2 linked regions of the Anolis sagrei genome follow. Each later gene encodes a partner of the first gene's protein in a complex. Links are inferred from orthologs where the notes say so. Each region holds a gene or a part of one and is shown on either strand. Other genes may lie near its edges.

Region 1 (7,486 bases):
CACCAGTGATAAAATTGAGCCAAACATGGCTCACATGACCAACAGAAAACTAGAAGGGATTGATGGGCATTGACTTTGAGTTTGGCACAAACTTGGCACAAGCACTCAATACGCCCAAATATGAACACAGATGGAGTTTGGGGAAAACAGACCTTGACATTTGGGAGTTGTAGTCACTGGGATTCACAGTTCACCTACAACTCCACGAACGACAGAATCAGGGCAAACTTCCCACACAGAGAACAGAAAATACTTAAGGCCATCCAATCCAACTCCCTTCATCAGGGCAAGAAAACGTAATCAAAGCCCTCCTGACAGAGAGCCATCCAGCAATAGATATAGATAGATATATATGATTCACACACACACAGATAAAGTATTATAGATTTGAAAGGGACCCTTAAAGAAGGACTATGATATGTTGCATATTCCAGAGTAGGCAAACCAGACACTCTCCATATCTACACTGACAAAGAAACAGCAAGAAATTCTGTTTACCCACAAGAAGACAGACAATTACATATATTAGAAACCAACACTTTCTCATTACTTCATTTTCCAGAGCACCAGACTGGGCCACAGCAACGCATGGCAGGGGACAGCTATCACATGGAAATATATTGTATGTTATTATCATAAATACCGTATATACTTGAGTATACACCGACCCGAATATAAGCTGAGGCATCTAATTTTACCACAAAAAACTGGGAAAATGTATTGACTCGAATATAAGCCGAGGGTGGGAAATGCAGCAGCTACTAGTAAATTTCAAAATAAAAATAGATACCAATAACATTATATTAATTTAGGCATTAGTAGGTTAAATGTTTTTGAATATTTACATAAAACTGTAATTCAAGATAAGACTGTCTAACTCTGATTAAACCATTATTATTACCTTCATCAATATAAATATGCTTACTAGGCTTGGGCGGTTTCGTTCGTTAATTTCGTAATTCGTTATTAATTCGTATTTAAATTAGCTTATGATCCAATATTGAGCCATGCAGGAATAGTGTGAGGAGTAAATTAGATTCGAAACAATTGTTTCAATTTATTTCGTAATTGTTTCCTAATTTCGTAAAAATAGGGCCTTCTCGGTGGTGGTGCCACGGCTGTGGAACACCCTTCCTGTGGACATCAGGCTAGCTCCCTCCCTGTTGATATTCCGCAGGAAATTAAAGACCTGGCTGTTTAAGAAGGCATTTGAACAAGAAGTGCAATGATTGATAATTTGACCATAGGAACGGAACAATGGAAATGATATCGGATTGTGGGTTTGACGATGAGACGACATGGAATGGCTTTTGTAGTAATGTTGATGTTTTTGATTAGGAGGTTTTTGATAATGATGAATTATGGATTGTATTTGCACTATGTCTTGTATTTTGCACCTGTTTTTCTATGTTGTACACCGCAATGAGTCGCCCCTGGGCTGAGAATTGCGGTATATAAGCGCAGTAAATAAATAAATAAATAAATATTTCATAATTATTTTCGCATGTCTGGTGCAAGTTTTATAGTTGTTGTTTGTTTTATCACACCAACAATCAACAACAGAGGGAGAGGGAAACTTCAGAAGTTCCCCCTGTCCCATTTGGAGGGTTTTTTTTTAGCATATTGCGCAATCGCGTCCGCCATTCACGAATCACGAATTTTGGAATTCTTTAAAAAAAAAAAAAACGAAACGCAAGGGCCCCCTAAAAACAAAACGGGTTTAGAACCAAATTTTTCCGTGGTTACCCAAGCTTACATGTCCAATAATAATAAATAGAGTAAAATAATAATAATAATAATAGATTAAAGTAATAAATGTAATAACAACAATAATAAATAATAAATGCAATAATAATAATAATAACAACAACAAAGTAAAATAATAAATAACATTGACTCCAGTATAAGCCAGGGGAGACTTTAGTATAAGCCTAAAAAAAGGACTCTCCCAAAGAGAGGGTGCCTCCAGGCAATAGAGGCCAGGCTACCTCTATGCAGAGACCCTCACTGATTGACTTTGCAGCTTCATGGCTACTCAATGCTCATCAATATATATATATTACATACATATTATACATTTTATTATATATTTATTTTATTTATTATATATATATATATATTGTATTTAAAGTCAAATGTAATTTTACAACAAAAACACAATAAATAATTAACTTTCATAGATAAGAACATACACTATATTTTCATTATATATATATATATATATATACACACATATATCATATATTTATATATTGCTTTTATGTATGAAATTCATTCATGTATTGTATTTTTATTGCAGGCCTGGGCCAACTTGGGCCTTCCTCCAGGGGTTTTGGACTCCAACTCCCACAATTCCTAACAGCCGCTAGGCTGTTAGGAATTGTGGGAGTTGGAGTCCAAAACCCCTGGAGGAAGGCCCAAGTTGGCCCAGGCCTGGTATAGCTATATCTCTATCGATGCAGGTCTGCTCACCGGGGGCCTGGAGGTAGAGCGAGGCGAAGGCGGCGAGGAAGGCGGCGGCGAGGCCGGCCAGGAAGAGCTGCCGGGAGAGACGCTGACCCTCCGCGCCCGCCATGGCGACTCCCGTCCTTCCTTCCACACCGCTTCCCAAAAAATCCCCTCAGGCCGCGGGGGTGGGATCCCAACTCCCAGAAGAGCGCCCATTGGTCCAGCTCCACTGGGAGGGCGTGGCCTACGGAGAAGTAACCAATCGGAAACGAAGGGGCGTGGCTCCAGAAAGCTTGGGCCTTGCTTTGACAGAGGAGAGAGAGCTCAGAACGCCCGGGGGTCGCGCTGATTGGATGAATCTCCAGAAATAACGAATCAGAGAAGAGGGCGGGGACTCTACAGAGCTTTGACCCCTGATTGGCTACGTCTCGAGGGAAGGGCGGGCACGGAGGCGGTGAGCAGCACGCTCATTGGCTGAATCTCCAACTGAGGGAAGAAATAACGAATCAGAGAAGAGGGCGGGGATAATACAAAGCTTTGCCCCCTGATTGGCTATGTCTCGAAGGAGAAGGCGGGCACGGAGGCGGTGAGCAGCACGCTCATTGGCTGAATCTCCAACTGAGGGAAGAAATAACGAATTAGAGAAGGGGGCGGGGATAATACAAAGCTTTGGCCCCTGATTGGCTATGTCTCGAAGGAGAAGGCGGGCACGGAGGCTGTGAGCAGCACGCTCATTGGCTGAATCTCCAACTGAGGGAAGAAATAAGGAATTAGAGAAGGGGGCGGGGACTCTACAAAGCTTTGGCCCCTGGTTGGCTACGTCTCGAGCTCATTGGCTGAATCTCCAACTGAGGGAAGAAATAACGAATCGGAGAAGGGGGCGGGGACAATAGAAAGCTTTGGGCCCTGATTGGCTACGTCTCGAGGGAGAGGGCGGGCACAGAGGCATTGAGCAGCACGCTTATTGGTTGAATCTCCAACTGAGGGAAGAAATAACGAATCAGAGAAGAGGGCGGGGATTTTACAAAGCTTTGGCCTCTGATTGGCTACGTCTCGAGGGAGAGGGCGGGCACGGAGGCGGTGAGCAGCACGCTCATTGGCTGAATCTCCAACTGAAGGAAGAAATAACGAATGACAAACGAAGGGGCGGGGCTCCAGAAAGCTATCGCGCTGATTGGCTGAATCTCCAGTCGAGGGAAGAAATAACTAATCAGAGAAGGGGGTGGGGACTCTACAAAGCTTTGGCCTCTGATTGGCTACGTCTCGAAGGGGAGGGCTGGCATGGCGTCGGTTAGCAGCACGCTTATTGGCTGAGTCTCCAACTGAGGGAAGAAATAACAAATCAGAGAAGGGGGCGGGGACTCAAGAAGGCGTTGGCCTCGCTTTCACGGGGTAGGGCTCAGAACGCTCAAAGATGGCGCTGATTGGCTAAGAATCGCGAGAAAGGCGGCGCCGAGAGAAGAATTAACCAATGAGGGGCGGGATGGGCGGGACGAGAAAGAGTGACTGAGGAGCACCGAAGGGGGCGTGGCCTGGAAACCAAAAGGGGGCGGGGCTTGAAGCGGCAACGTTCCTCCATCATTGTAGGCGTGGCTTCGAGCTTGTGGGCGTGGCTTCAAGGTGGATACAATAGGCAGGGAAGAGGGAGGTGTCACTCTGCGTCGCGTTCCTTATACGTCACCTTTTGGGCGCCGTCGACGCTTGTGGATGGCGTCACGAGGCGCGTCGGGCGGGAAAAACGAAAAGAACCAGCCTTCTTCCGTTGAGAGGGAATGCCGAGCGAGGTAAGGCCTCTTTTCCAGCTGGAATAGCCTTGAGAAGCCTCGAAGACTGCCAGGCCCATCAGTGAGGCGAACTACAACTCCAAAACCCAGCAGCACTGTCTCCTGACGTTTCGCCTGCATCTATTGCCAGTGCTATCTTCAGAGATTCCGTTGGATTGTCTGTATCCCTGTGGAATAATGTCCTTGATGAGCATTGAGTAGCCATGAAGCTGCAAAGTCAACCAGTGAGGTCGTCTCTGCATAGAGGTAGCCTGGCTGTTGTGCCCTGGAGGCACCCTCTCTTTGGGAGGGGTTAACTGGCCCTTGATTGCTTGCTGTCTGGTGTTCTCCTGTCTCTCAATGGTGTTCCTTATTTACTGTCTTGATTCCGGCGGGGTTTTTTTTTTTTTTGAGAAACTGCAAGTCGCTTCTGGTGTGAGAGAATTGGCCGTCTGCAAGGACATTGCCCAGGGGACGATACTCTGATGTTTTGATGTTTTCATCATCCTTGTGAGAGGCTACTCTCATGTTCCCGCATGAGGAGCTGGAGCTGACGGAGGGAGCTCATCTGCCTCTCCCCGGATTCGAACCAGCAACCTGTCAGTCCTGCCGTCAAAGGGGTTTAACCCACTGCGCCACCGGGGGTTCCTGTAAATACTAGTAACCAGAGTGATTGACAACTGGTAATTACATCTCGTTACATCCCGAATAGATTACTTGAACACACTCTTCCATAAGGAAGGCTGAGCAAAGGAAGAGAGATGCTTTGGAACTCTGGTGTTGGAGGAAAGTGCTGAGAGTGCCTTGGACCGCAAGAAGATCCAACCAGTCCATCCTCCAGGAAATAAAGCCCGACTGCTCACTGGAAGGAAGGATAGTAGAGGCAAAGATGAAGTCTGGGTTGTTGTATGTTTTTTGGGCTATATGGCCATGTTCTAGAAGCATTCTCTCCTGACGTTTCGCCTGCATCTATGGCAGGCATCCTCAGAGGTTGTGAGGGTTGTAGGTTTTTTCAGGCTATATGGCCATGTTCTAGAAGCATTCTCTCCTGACGTTTCGCCTGCATCTATGACAGGCATCCTCAGAGGTTGTGAGGGTTGTAGGTTTTTCAGGCTATATGGCCATGTTCTAGAAGCATTCTCTCCTGACGTTTCGCCTGCATCTATGGCAAGCATCCTCAGAGCTTGTGAGGTCACAACCTCACAACCTCTGAGGATGCCTGCCATAGATGCAGGCGAAACGTCAGGAGAGAATGCTTCTAGAACATGGCCATATAGCCTGAAAAACCTACAACAACCCAGTGATTCCAGCCAGAAAGCCTCCAACAATACAAAGATGAAGGGCCATATCATGAGAAAACAGGAAAGCTTAGAGAAGAGAATGATGCTGGGGGAAATAGAAGGGAAAAGGAAGGGGGGCTGACCAAGGGCAAGGTGGGTGGATGGTGTACTTGAAGTGACTGGCATCACTCTGAAGCAGCCTCAGGGGGTGGTCACGGCTGATAGGGAGCTCTGCCCTGGGCTGGTCCAGGAGGGCACCAAGTGTCGGAAGAGACTGAACAAATAAACAACAACAACACTGCCTCCACGTTTTCTCCCTCTCTTTGTCAGTTATCAATCAGTCTGGTTAGCAGTATTTAAAAATCTGGTTACCGGTATTTAAAAAAACACTAGAATCAAGAAAGTAAATAAGGAACACCACTCAGAAAAAGGAGGACACCAGACTGCAAACAATCAAGGGCCAGTTAACACTTCCCAACCAAAGGGTGCCTCCAGGCAATAGAGGCCAGGCTACCTCTATACAGATATCCTCACTGATTGACTTTGCAGCTTCATGGCAACTTAATGCTCATCAAGCTTGGCAATTACAACATTCATGCTTGCTTCAACAGACAAGGGTTCTTTCTTCCACTCTGGACATTATTCCACAGGGATACAGACAGTCCACTTGCCTCATTTCCAACAGAATCTCTGAAGAGGTGAAACATCAGGAGAGAATGCTGCTGGAACATGCCTGGACAGCCTGGAAAACTCACAGCAACCCAGTGATTCCGACCATAGAAGCTTTTGACAACAAAGCAAACTTCAACCCTCCAGGTGTTTTGGACTTCAACTCCCACAATTCCTAACAGCCTATCGGCTGTTAGGAATTGTGGGAGTTGGAGTCCAAAACACCTGGAGGGAGGGCCGAAGTTTGCCCAGACCTGCTTTGGCAGCTCGTCAGAGAGATTCATGCTCTCCAGACCTTCTCCATTCTCCCGTGTTTCGATGTGCTCCTAACCTGAATGTTTACCTTTCAGGTGTAGTCCAAGCTGGAACCCTCCAAGGCCCAAATGCCTTCGTTTGATGGTGTTTGATTGCGTTTCTGGCCTGGTGGGGAATGGCCGCCATGGAAGACGCCGAGTCCCGCTTCATGCACTTCCTGCAGCCCATTCGGGACCTCACCAAGAACTGGGAGGTCGATGTGGCATCTCAGCTGGGAGAATACCTGGAGGAGGTGAGGTTCAGAACCCAAAACAAACACTGGGGGCGGCTTCATTCAACCGATCGGAAGGCATGCAAAGCTTTTACACGAGTTTCCAAGCCCACTGGTGTTTTCATTGTGATTGAATGGAAGGAAAACAAATGTGAGGTTTTTCGAGTTCCCCAAAGCCTGCAGTTTTGTATATTTCAGCCTGATGGATTCAAGCAGGTAGAAAGTTGATGCTTCTCTCTCAAAAAAGGAGGTGGAGAAACAAAAGCAGCAGAGGATGTCAAAGAAGTCTAAAACATGTCAGTCCTTCTTTTTAGGCCATCAGGTCTCTTCCCTTCAGATGGGTTCTGACTCTCTCCATTGGTGCCTCAAATTTATTTATTTTATTTATTCCGGGTACTTCTACCCCGCCCTTCTCAACCCCTGAGGGGGGACTCAGGGCGGCTTACAAAAAAGGCACAATTCGATGCCTATACAAATTACACATAATGTACAATTCCATATTTAAGACAATTATCACAGTTAAAACAATCAAAGCAATCAGTATATAACATATCATATAAAAACTATTCTCATGCTCAGCGTTTTGTTTTTCAGAGTTCCATAGTTCTATTCCATTAATCATTTCCTGACCATTGTCAAAGTCCTTTCTTTATCTGCCCAGTTGTCCGAATGCCTGGTCCCAAATCCATGTTTTCAGTTTTTTCGTAAGGAAAGGAGCGATGTTGCAGATCTAATTTCCCCGGGGAGTGAATTCCACAGGTGAGGGGCCACCACCGAGAAGGCCCTGCTCCTCGTCCCCG
Region 2 (8,450 bases), on another chromosome or scaffold:
AATAGTTTCAATTCTAGTTATGGTTCTCCATTTTCCTGAATGGGAAGGAAGTGAATATGGCACATTGGGAAGGTGGACATTATATTCTTAAGACTACTATGGCTCAGAAGCTGCAGTTAGTGCAAAGGTCGGCAGCCAGATTACTAACTGGGGCTGGTTATAGGAAGCATACCATGCCCCTATTAAAGCAGCTCCACTGGCTGCCGATGAGTTTCCGGGCCCAATTCAAAGTGCAGGTTATTACCTATAAAGCCCTATACCAGTGTTTCTCAACCTGGGGGTTGGGACCCCTGGGGGGTCACCAGGGAGTATCAGAGGGGTCACCAAGATCATCAGAAAATACAGTATTATCTATTAGTCATGGAGATACAGCCCTATCTCCCCAAGTGGTCTTGGGGAGATAGGGCTGTATATAAATAAAGTTTTATTATTATATTCTGCACCCTAAATGGCAGGGAATGTGGTTTTAAATAACAATACTTGCGTATACATGTGCAAAATAAAAGTTCATCTAAAACTAAATATTATTGCTGCTCTATCCATCCCAGCAAAGTGGGATATAAAATGTATAATAAATGAAAGAAATAGAAATGGAAGGAGGCTGTAATTAAATGTGAATGATAAAGAAACATACTAAAAGGGTTTACTTGGTGGAATATAAAATAAACTTTCCTATAGCATAACTTACAATTCTCAAAGGGTCTCACAGCTCAAGTCAAGTGTGTGTAAAATAAAACTGATTCTCGCGTCAAAATAGCTATCCCTGAAGGGCCAGGCATGGTATACCATCAAAAGAAATTCTCCAGCTATCTGCTGTACAGTATCACAGGGAATATTTTACTCGTAATACTGTTGATAACAGTAATGAATAATAATAATAATAAATTACAATGGTTTGCCCGAGGCATTTGAGTCTCCTTGACAGCTAGTAAGAAGGCTCATTTAAGGGGAAGGAAACGTGATCCGGCCTGATGAAAAGACAGCATGGAAGCAAAACTGCATTTGCCGTCGCTCAGCAACGCCGCATGGAAAGCCGCCTTCCTGAGATTGCTTTAACTCGATTTGACAGGACGACGATAATGACTGCGAGATTAATATAAAAGGTATAGATTATTCCAGAGTGACACACAGACCTGTCAAAACGGGGGCGTTGTTGAAAGAGGGCACCTTTTTTAAAAAAAACCCTGACAATGGGTGGTGGGCTCGTTATTACTTGTACTTGTGATCCTGAGAAAAATCACAAAAGTCCTACATGTGTCTACCTTTGGGTTTTCTGGCATATTGCTGATGTTTCGTATTATTCAACCTGCTGTGATTTCCTTGTCACTTTTTCTCTTTTTAATGCAGAACTACTGAAATAAAAATACTCTGCTTAATATGCAATGTCAAATTATTAGTAATGATGACAATAACATTATGTAATAAAATTTGAAAAATGTTCTGGTTTCAAAGTGTTATTTCCCTGTTTAATTGTGTGATACTTACTTTGAAACAAATTGTAATACTTCAGAACTTTGTTTTTGTGGCTGCCACAAACTATGTTGAACCAGCTGAGAATCTATGACAGTGTTTCTCAACCTGGGGGTCGGGACCCCTTTGGGTGTCAGAGGGGTCATCAAAGACCATCAGAAAACGCAGTATTTTCTGTTGGTTATGGGGATTCTGTGTGGGAAGTTTGGTCCAATTCTGTCATTGGTGGGTTTCATAATGCTCTTTGATTGTAGGTGAACTATAAATCCCATCAACTACAACTCCCAAATGTCAAGGTCTATTTTCCCCAAACTCCACCAGTGTTCACATTTGGGCATATTTGAGTATTCCTGCCAAGTTTGGTCCAGATCCATTATTGTTTGTGTCCACAGTACACTCTGGATGTAGGTGAACTACAACTCCAAAACTCAAGTTCAATGCCCACCAAACCCTTCCAGTATTTTCTGTTGGTCATGGGAGTTATGTGTACCAACTTTGGTTCAATTCGATCATTGGTGGAGTTCCGAATGTTCTTTGATTGTAGGTGAACTATAAATCCCAGCAACTATAACTCCCAAATGACAAAATCAATCCCCTCTAACCCCATCAGTATTCAAATTTTGGCGTATCGGATATTTGTGCCAAATTTGGTCCAATGAATGAAAATACACCCTGCATATCAGATATTTACGTTATGATTCATATCAGGAGCAAAACTACAGTTATGAAGTAGCAACAAAAATAATTTTATGGTTGGGGGTCACCACAACATGAGGAACTGTATTAAGGGGTCATGGCATCAGGAAGTTTGAGGAACACTGTGCTAGTGGGTTTATAAAAGTTTCAAGATTCAGCTTCTCAGCACACGTTAACTCTGCTGGTGCTGTAGTTACCTTACATTTGTTGCCTCTCTTAGGCAGCCTATCTATACTGCCCTCTTGTGGTTGCCTCTGAGTACTGCATGCATATATACATAATTACTTGTTTTGGGGTTCCTAACCCCCAATGGGGTGAGTGTTTGTAGCTGAAACCTGGCCAAGATTTTAAGTTGGATAATGAAGGATACATGTGCCAAGCTAGGTAGGGATCCATGAAGCCATGTAGGAGCCTTGATGGAACAAACATACATCCATATAGGTGGGTTGTTGTGTGTTTTCTGGGCTGCATGGCCATGTTCCAGAAGCATTCCCTCCTGACATTTCACCTGTGTCTATGGCAGGCATCCTCAGAGGTTGTCTGTTGAAAACTAGAAAATAGGGTTTATACATTTGTGGAATATCCAGCCTGGGAAAAAGAACTCTTGTCTGTTGGAGGTAGGTGTGAATGTTGCAATTGGCCTCCTTGATTAGTATTCAATGGCCTGCCAGTTTCAGGTGTGTCTTACTGCCTGGGGGAATCCTTTGTCAAGGGGTGACTAGCTGTCCCTGATTGTTTCTTGTCTGGAGTTCCCATTTTTCCCACGGACGGTGCCACTATATACCACCCTTCTACACTCACTGCACGTGTGCCCACTGACTGGTTCCTTTGCCTGCTGATTGGTGGGCAATTGCAGCATTCACACCTGCATCAAACAGACAAGAGTTATTTCTCCCACCCTGAATATTCCACAAATATATAAACCCCACTTGCCTAGTTTCCAATAGACCTCACAACCTCTGAAGATGCATGACATAGATGCAGGCAAAATGTCAGGAGAGAATGCTTCTGGAACATGGCCATACAGCCTGGAAAACTCACAGCAACCCAGTGATTCCAGCCATGAAAGCCTTCAACAGCACATCTATATAAATAAAAATGTAATGTATATTTGTGGGATTAACATAACTCAAAAACTACTGGACGTATTTACACCAAATTTGGACACAATACACATATCAGGCCAACAAGTGACCGACACTCATAAAAACACTGAAATACACAGCAGAAGAGACTTAAAAAGTAAAAATAAAAAATACATTACAATGCTTGCACAAAACCACATATATATATGCAAACACGCATATATATACATACACATATACACACACAAAACACATATACACAGACTGGGCGACAGCAACGCGTGGCAGGGGATAGCTAGTCATTCATAAAAACAATGAAAACCACACACACATATATGCAAACAGACACACACACACACACATACATATACATATACACAAATATATACACACACATATACACACACAAAAGACATATACACAGATTGGGCCACAGCAACGCGTGGCAGGGGACGGCTAGTCATTCATAAAAACACTGAAAACCACACACATATATATGCAAACACACACACACACACACACACACACACATATACATATACACAAATATATACACACACATATACACACACAAAAGACATATACACAGATTGGGCCACAGCAACGCGTGGCAGGGGACGGCTAGTCATTCATAAAAACACTAAAAAAACACACACATATATATGCAAACACACACACACATACATACATATACATATACACAAATATATACACACACATATACACACACAAAACACATGTGCACAGACTGGGCCACAGCAAAGCGCGGCAGGGGATGGCTAGTCATTCATAAAAACACTAAAAACACACATATATATGCAAACACACATATACATATACACAAATATATACACACACATATACACACACAAAACACATATACACAGATTGGGCCACAGCAATGCGTGGCAGGGGACAGCTAGTCATTCATAAAAACACTAAAAACACACACACACACATACATATACACAAATATATACACACACATATACACACACAAAACACATATGCACAGACTGGGCCACAGCAACACGTGGCAGGGGATGGCTAGTCATTCATAAAAACACTGAAAACCACACACACATATATGCACACAGACACACACATATATATATACATACATACATATATACACAAATATATACACACACATATACACACACAAAACACATATACACAGACTGGGTCACAGCAATGCGTGGTAGGGGACGGCTAGTCATTCATTGAACTGGGTTGCATCCACATTGTAGAATTAATTCAGTTTGACACCACTTTAATTGCCATGGCTCAGTGCCAAGGGACCCTTTGCTGGGGCAGCATCACTCCCTGCAGAGAAAGGTAAAAGCCTTGTCAAACTATAACTCCCAGGATTCCACAGCACTCAGCCATGGCAGCCCAAGTGGTATCAAACTGTGTTAATTCTACAGTGTAGACATACCCTTTGTTTTCTGGACTGATACAATTTTCAAAATATTTAATAAATGCATAATTAAATGCAAATATTTATTTCACCGTTGCAATTCCTCATCCTATAGTTCCCGGAGGCGACTGCATTGAACTTTGATACTTTTAACCTGTTTTGACTGCAGAGTGCAGCTTTGTCCTACTTGCAGCAAGTCAAGCACTAGTGCGCATGCGCAGCAGGGGATCCGGAGGAGGAACCCTCCTTTCGCCGCTTTCTTTCGTCAGTCGTCTCCCTTTCCAGCCATTTAGAGCGGGCGCGTGCGCAGTGAGTGTAGAAGGGCGGTGTTTAGTGGCGCCGCCCGCGGGAGAATTTGAACGGTCCCGCGAGAAAGCGCCAAATCGGAGAGATGGATTCTTCGTTGCGAGTTTGAAAACGAGAATTTTAGGGTAAGGGCGGGCGTGTTTTTGTGTATACTCTCTTTGAAAAGGGATAAGTCATATACATATATTGAATTGTTGGCAGGCAAGTTAGATATTTCCAGGAAGGGGATTTGGGAGCCGAATCCGGTCCTTGCTAGGAAGCTTTTTAGGTTTGTAAACAGACTCTCCTTCCATTTCCCCCCCTTTGTTTTCAACGAATTCCAATTGCTCAGAGGGTGCATCTACACTGTAGAATTATTGCAGTTCTATACCACTTCCACTGTTATGGAATTGTTACTTTGCAAGGTCTGTAGTCCCCCCTGCTAAAGAGTGTTGGTGCCCCGCCAAACTACAAATCCCAGCATTGAGCAACAGCAGTGTAGATGCCCCCTAGCATCTACACTGTAGAATTAATGCAGTTCTGTACCACTTTCACTGCTATGGAATTATGGGAGTCGTTGTTTTGCAAGGTCTGGAGTCTCCCCTGCTAAAGAGTGTTGGTGCCTCGCCAAACTACAAATCCCAGCATTGAGCCCCCCTAGCATTTACACTGTAGAATTAATGCAGTTCTGTACCACTTTCACTGCTATGGAATTATGGGAGTTGTCGTTTTGCCAGGTCTGGAGTCTTCTCTGCTAAAGAGTGTTGGTGCCCCGCCAAACTACAAATCCCAGCATGGAGCCCCCCTAGCATCTACACTGTAGAATTAATGCAGTTCTGTACCACTTTCACTGCTATGGAATTATGGGAGTTGTTGTTTTGCCAGGTCTGGAGTCTTCTCTGCTAAAGAGTGTTGGTACCCCGCCAAACTACAAATCCCAGCATTGAGCCCCCCTAGCATCTACACTGTAGAATTAATGCAGTTCTATATCACTTTTACTGCTATGGAATTATGGGAGTTGTGGTTTTGCCAGGTCTGGAGTCTTCTCTGCTAAAGAGTGTTGGTGCCCCGCCAAACTACAAATCCCAGCATTGAGCCCCCCTAGCATCTACACTGTAGAATTAATGCAGTTCTATATCACTTTTACTGCTATGGAATTATGGGAGTTGTGGTTTTGCCAGGTCTGGAGTCTTCTCTGCTAAAGAGTGTTGGTGCCCCGCCAAACTACAAATCCCAGCATTGAGCCCCCCTAGCATCTACACTAGAATTAATGCAGTTCTATATCACTTTTACTGCTATGGAATTATGGGAGTTGTGGTTTTGCCAGGTCTGGAGTCTTCTCTGCTAAAGAGTGTTGGTACCCCGCCAAACTACAAATCCCAGCATTGAGCCCCCCTAGCATCTACACTGTAGAATTAATGCAGTTCTATATCACTTTTACTGCTATGGAATTATGGGAGTTGTGGTTTTGCCAGGTCTGGAGTCTTCTCTGCTAAAGAGTGTTGGTGCCCCGCCAAACTACAAATCCCAGCATTGAGCCCCCCTAGCATCTACACTGTAGAATTAATGCAGTTCTATATCACTTTCATTACTATGGAATTATGGGAATTGTCGTTTTGCAAGGTCTATAGTCTTCTCTGCCATAGAATGCTGGTGCTTCCCCAAGCTACAAATCCTAGGAACTCATGGCAGTTAAAGTGGTATCAAACTGCGTTAATTTTGCAGTGTAGATGCTCCCTAGACAGTGCTCCAATCACTACACCATAGAAAAGTATGAGCACACACTGTCATGTTCTCTACCTTCCTTTCTTACCATTACATGTTGCCATGTAATTCTTCATTCTTTCTTCCTACTAGCCTGTTGCTTCCTCTGCTGAGTTTTAAAAGATAACATTGGTGGTTTCAGGGCTGTTTTCTGATTTTAGGAAATAAATAATATACCCCATGTTTCTGTGGAATAACATGCAGGATAAGTTTGCTATTATGAAAGGAACAAACAAACCTCGTTGTGAATACCCGCCTCCCATTAGGAAGCAGAAAACACACACACACATATATAAAGGTAAATGTTTCCCCTTGATATGAAGTCTAGTCGTGTCCAACTCTAGCAGATGGTGCTCTTTTCCATTTCTAAGATGAAGAGCCGACATTGTCCATAGACACCTCCAAGGTCATGTGGCCGGCATGACTGCATGATGCGCTGTTACCTTCCCACAGAAGTGGTACCTATTGATCTACTCACATTTGAATGTTTTCAAATTCCTAGATTGGCGGAAGCTGAGGCTAGTAGTGGGAGCTCACCCCGCTTCCTAGATTTGAACTGACTTTTCGGTCAGTGAATTCAACAGCTCAGCGGTTTAACCTACTGCGCCACCGGGGTCTCTCTCTCTTTCTCTCTCTCTATATATACACACACACCTGGAGGGCCAAAGTTTGTCCATGCACATGGATTACTAGCACTAGAGAGCAAAACACTGCCTTGAGTCGCCTCCAGGTTGAGAGTAGTGGTATATAAATATAGTAAATGAATAAATGTGGTATAGTGGCTTGAGAGTAGAATTAGAGACCAGGGTTCAAATATCCAATCAGCTGTGGAAACCCATTTGCCTTCAACGAAGGCAAAGCAAAACTTGCCAAGAAACCCTAGGCTTGCCATAAGTCAGATGAGACTCGAAAGCACGCAAGCCAGAATTAATAGTCCTACCACAGTAACTTTACTACTTGTTTATTCTGTTGAATGTTAGTACTCTGCAGTCCCAAGGCAGCTAACAAAACCAATTCGATTTTCTATCTGGGGAAAAGTGAGGTTTATTCTTTTCCAATGCTGCTCTTAGTCTATGAATAAATGGACTTAGATTGATCCCTGTCACAGCACGGAACTGAAGCCACCTATGACCACAGCATCACACAAGAGTCCAAGATAGAAGCAAACAGTTTATTGTAAAACACACAAAAAGATATATATAGGAAAAAAACAGCAATAAAGAAATCAGGTATTTAATCCAAGTAGTTGGTAATCAATTCTCTCTTGTAAATCCAAGGGTAAAATAGTCCAAAGATAGTTCGAGTACACTAAGATCCAAAACCATGAGCAATACTTGGAACAGGAATGCAAAACAAGACCATGAGATACTTGGATCAAAAACCAAGGCTTGAAACGAGAGAGCCAGGTGCAGCTATTAACTTGAACGCCATGTTGCCTGAACTGAAGAGCAAGGTGCCCATTAGCTCATTAATAAACAGACATGAAAGCATTACATCTACCCTGGAATTTCTGCTTCCCACGAAGCCGTGATGATCTATGAATCTGGCTATCTGTTCGAATGTGCATGCGTACTTGCTTTCTTAAGTCGGAAACAGGTGCGTTCCCATATGAATTTCTCACCCCTTCATCTTTGTTAGACTTATCTGCCGGTAGGCTATTAGGAATTGTGTGTTGGAGTTCAGCCTGTGATTGTGTTTTAGGATCAGGGTGCTTTGGAAGTAGGGAATGA

What was found.
Region 2: the proteins of NCAPH2 (region 1) and NCAPG2 are in contact, whole or in part, in a cryo-EM structure (PDB 9F5W), measured with the Homo sapiens proteins. The link is inferred for Anolis sagrei from reciprocal best matches to the Homo sapiens genes NCAPH2 and NCAPG2. Residues at the interface, in NP_689512.2 of Homo sapiens: Pro316, Trp317, Gln318, Ser319, Leu320, Pro322, Phe323, Asp324, Ser325, Leu326, Glu327, Ser328, Lys329, Pro330, Phe331, Lys332, Lys333, Gly334, Arg335, Pro336, Tyr337, Ser338, Val339, Glu344, Gln360, Asp361, Phe362, Gln364, Trp365, Tyr366; in NP_001268861.1 of Homo sapiens: Lys248, Leu251, Gln252, His292, Ile294, His295, Leu296, Pro297, Arg299, Ser300, Val302, Lys340, Ala341, Arg342, Asn343, Ser344, Glu345, Val346, Pro388, Tyr389, Pro390, Arg393, Gly425, Glu426, Ala428, Phe429, Asp430, Thr431, Ser432, Arg437.

The regions. Positions count from the first base shown.
Region 1 is NC_090025.1:198,024,323-198,031,808, reverse strand, and holds the start of NCAPH2 (condensin-2 complex subunit H2), read left to right. Parts: upstream 1-4,063; 5' UTR 4,064-4,232; intron 4,233-4,245; exon of another isoform or gene 4,246-4,894; intron 4,895-6,510; 5' UTR 6,511-6,590; coding exon 6,591-6,707; intron 6,708-7,486. Other genes in the region: LMF2 (lipase maturation factor 2), read right to left, coding at 2,473-2,575. UniProt on the Homo sapiens protein: Regulatory subunit of the condensin-2 complex, a complex that seems to provide chromosomes with an additional level of organization and rigidity and in establishing mitotic chromosome architecture.
Region 2 is NC_090026.1:118,100,716-118,109,165, forward strand, and holds the start of NCAPG2 (condensin-2 complex subunit G2), read left to right. Parts: upstream 1-4,986; 5' UTR 4,987-5,102; intron 5,103-8,450. UniProt on the Homo sapiens protein: Regulatory subunit of the condensin-2 complex, a complex which establishes mitotic chromosome architecture and is involved in physical rigidity of the chromatid axis.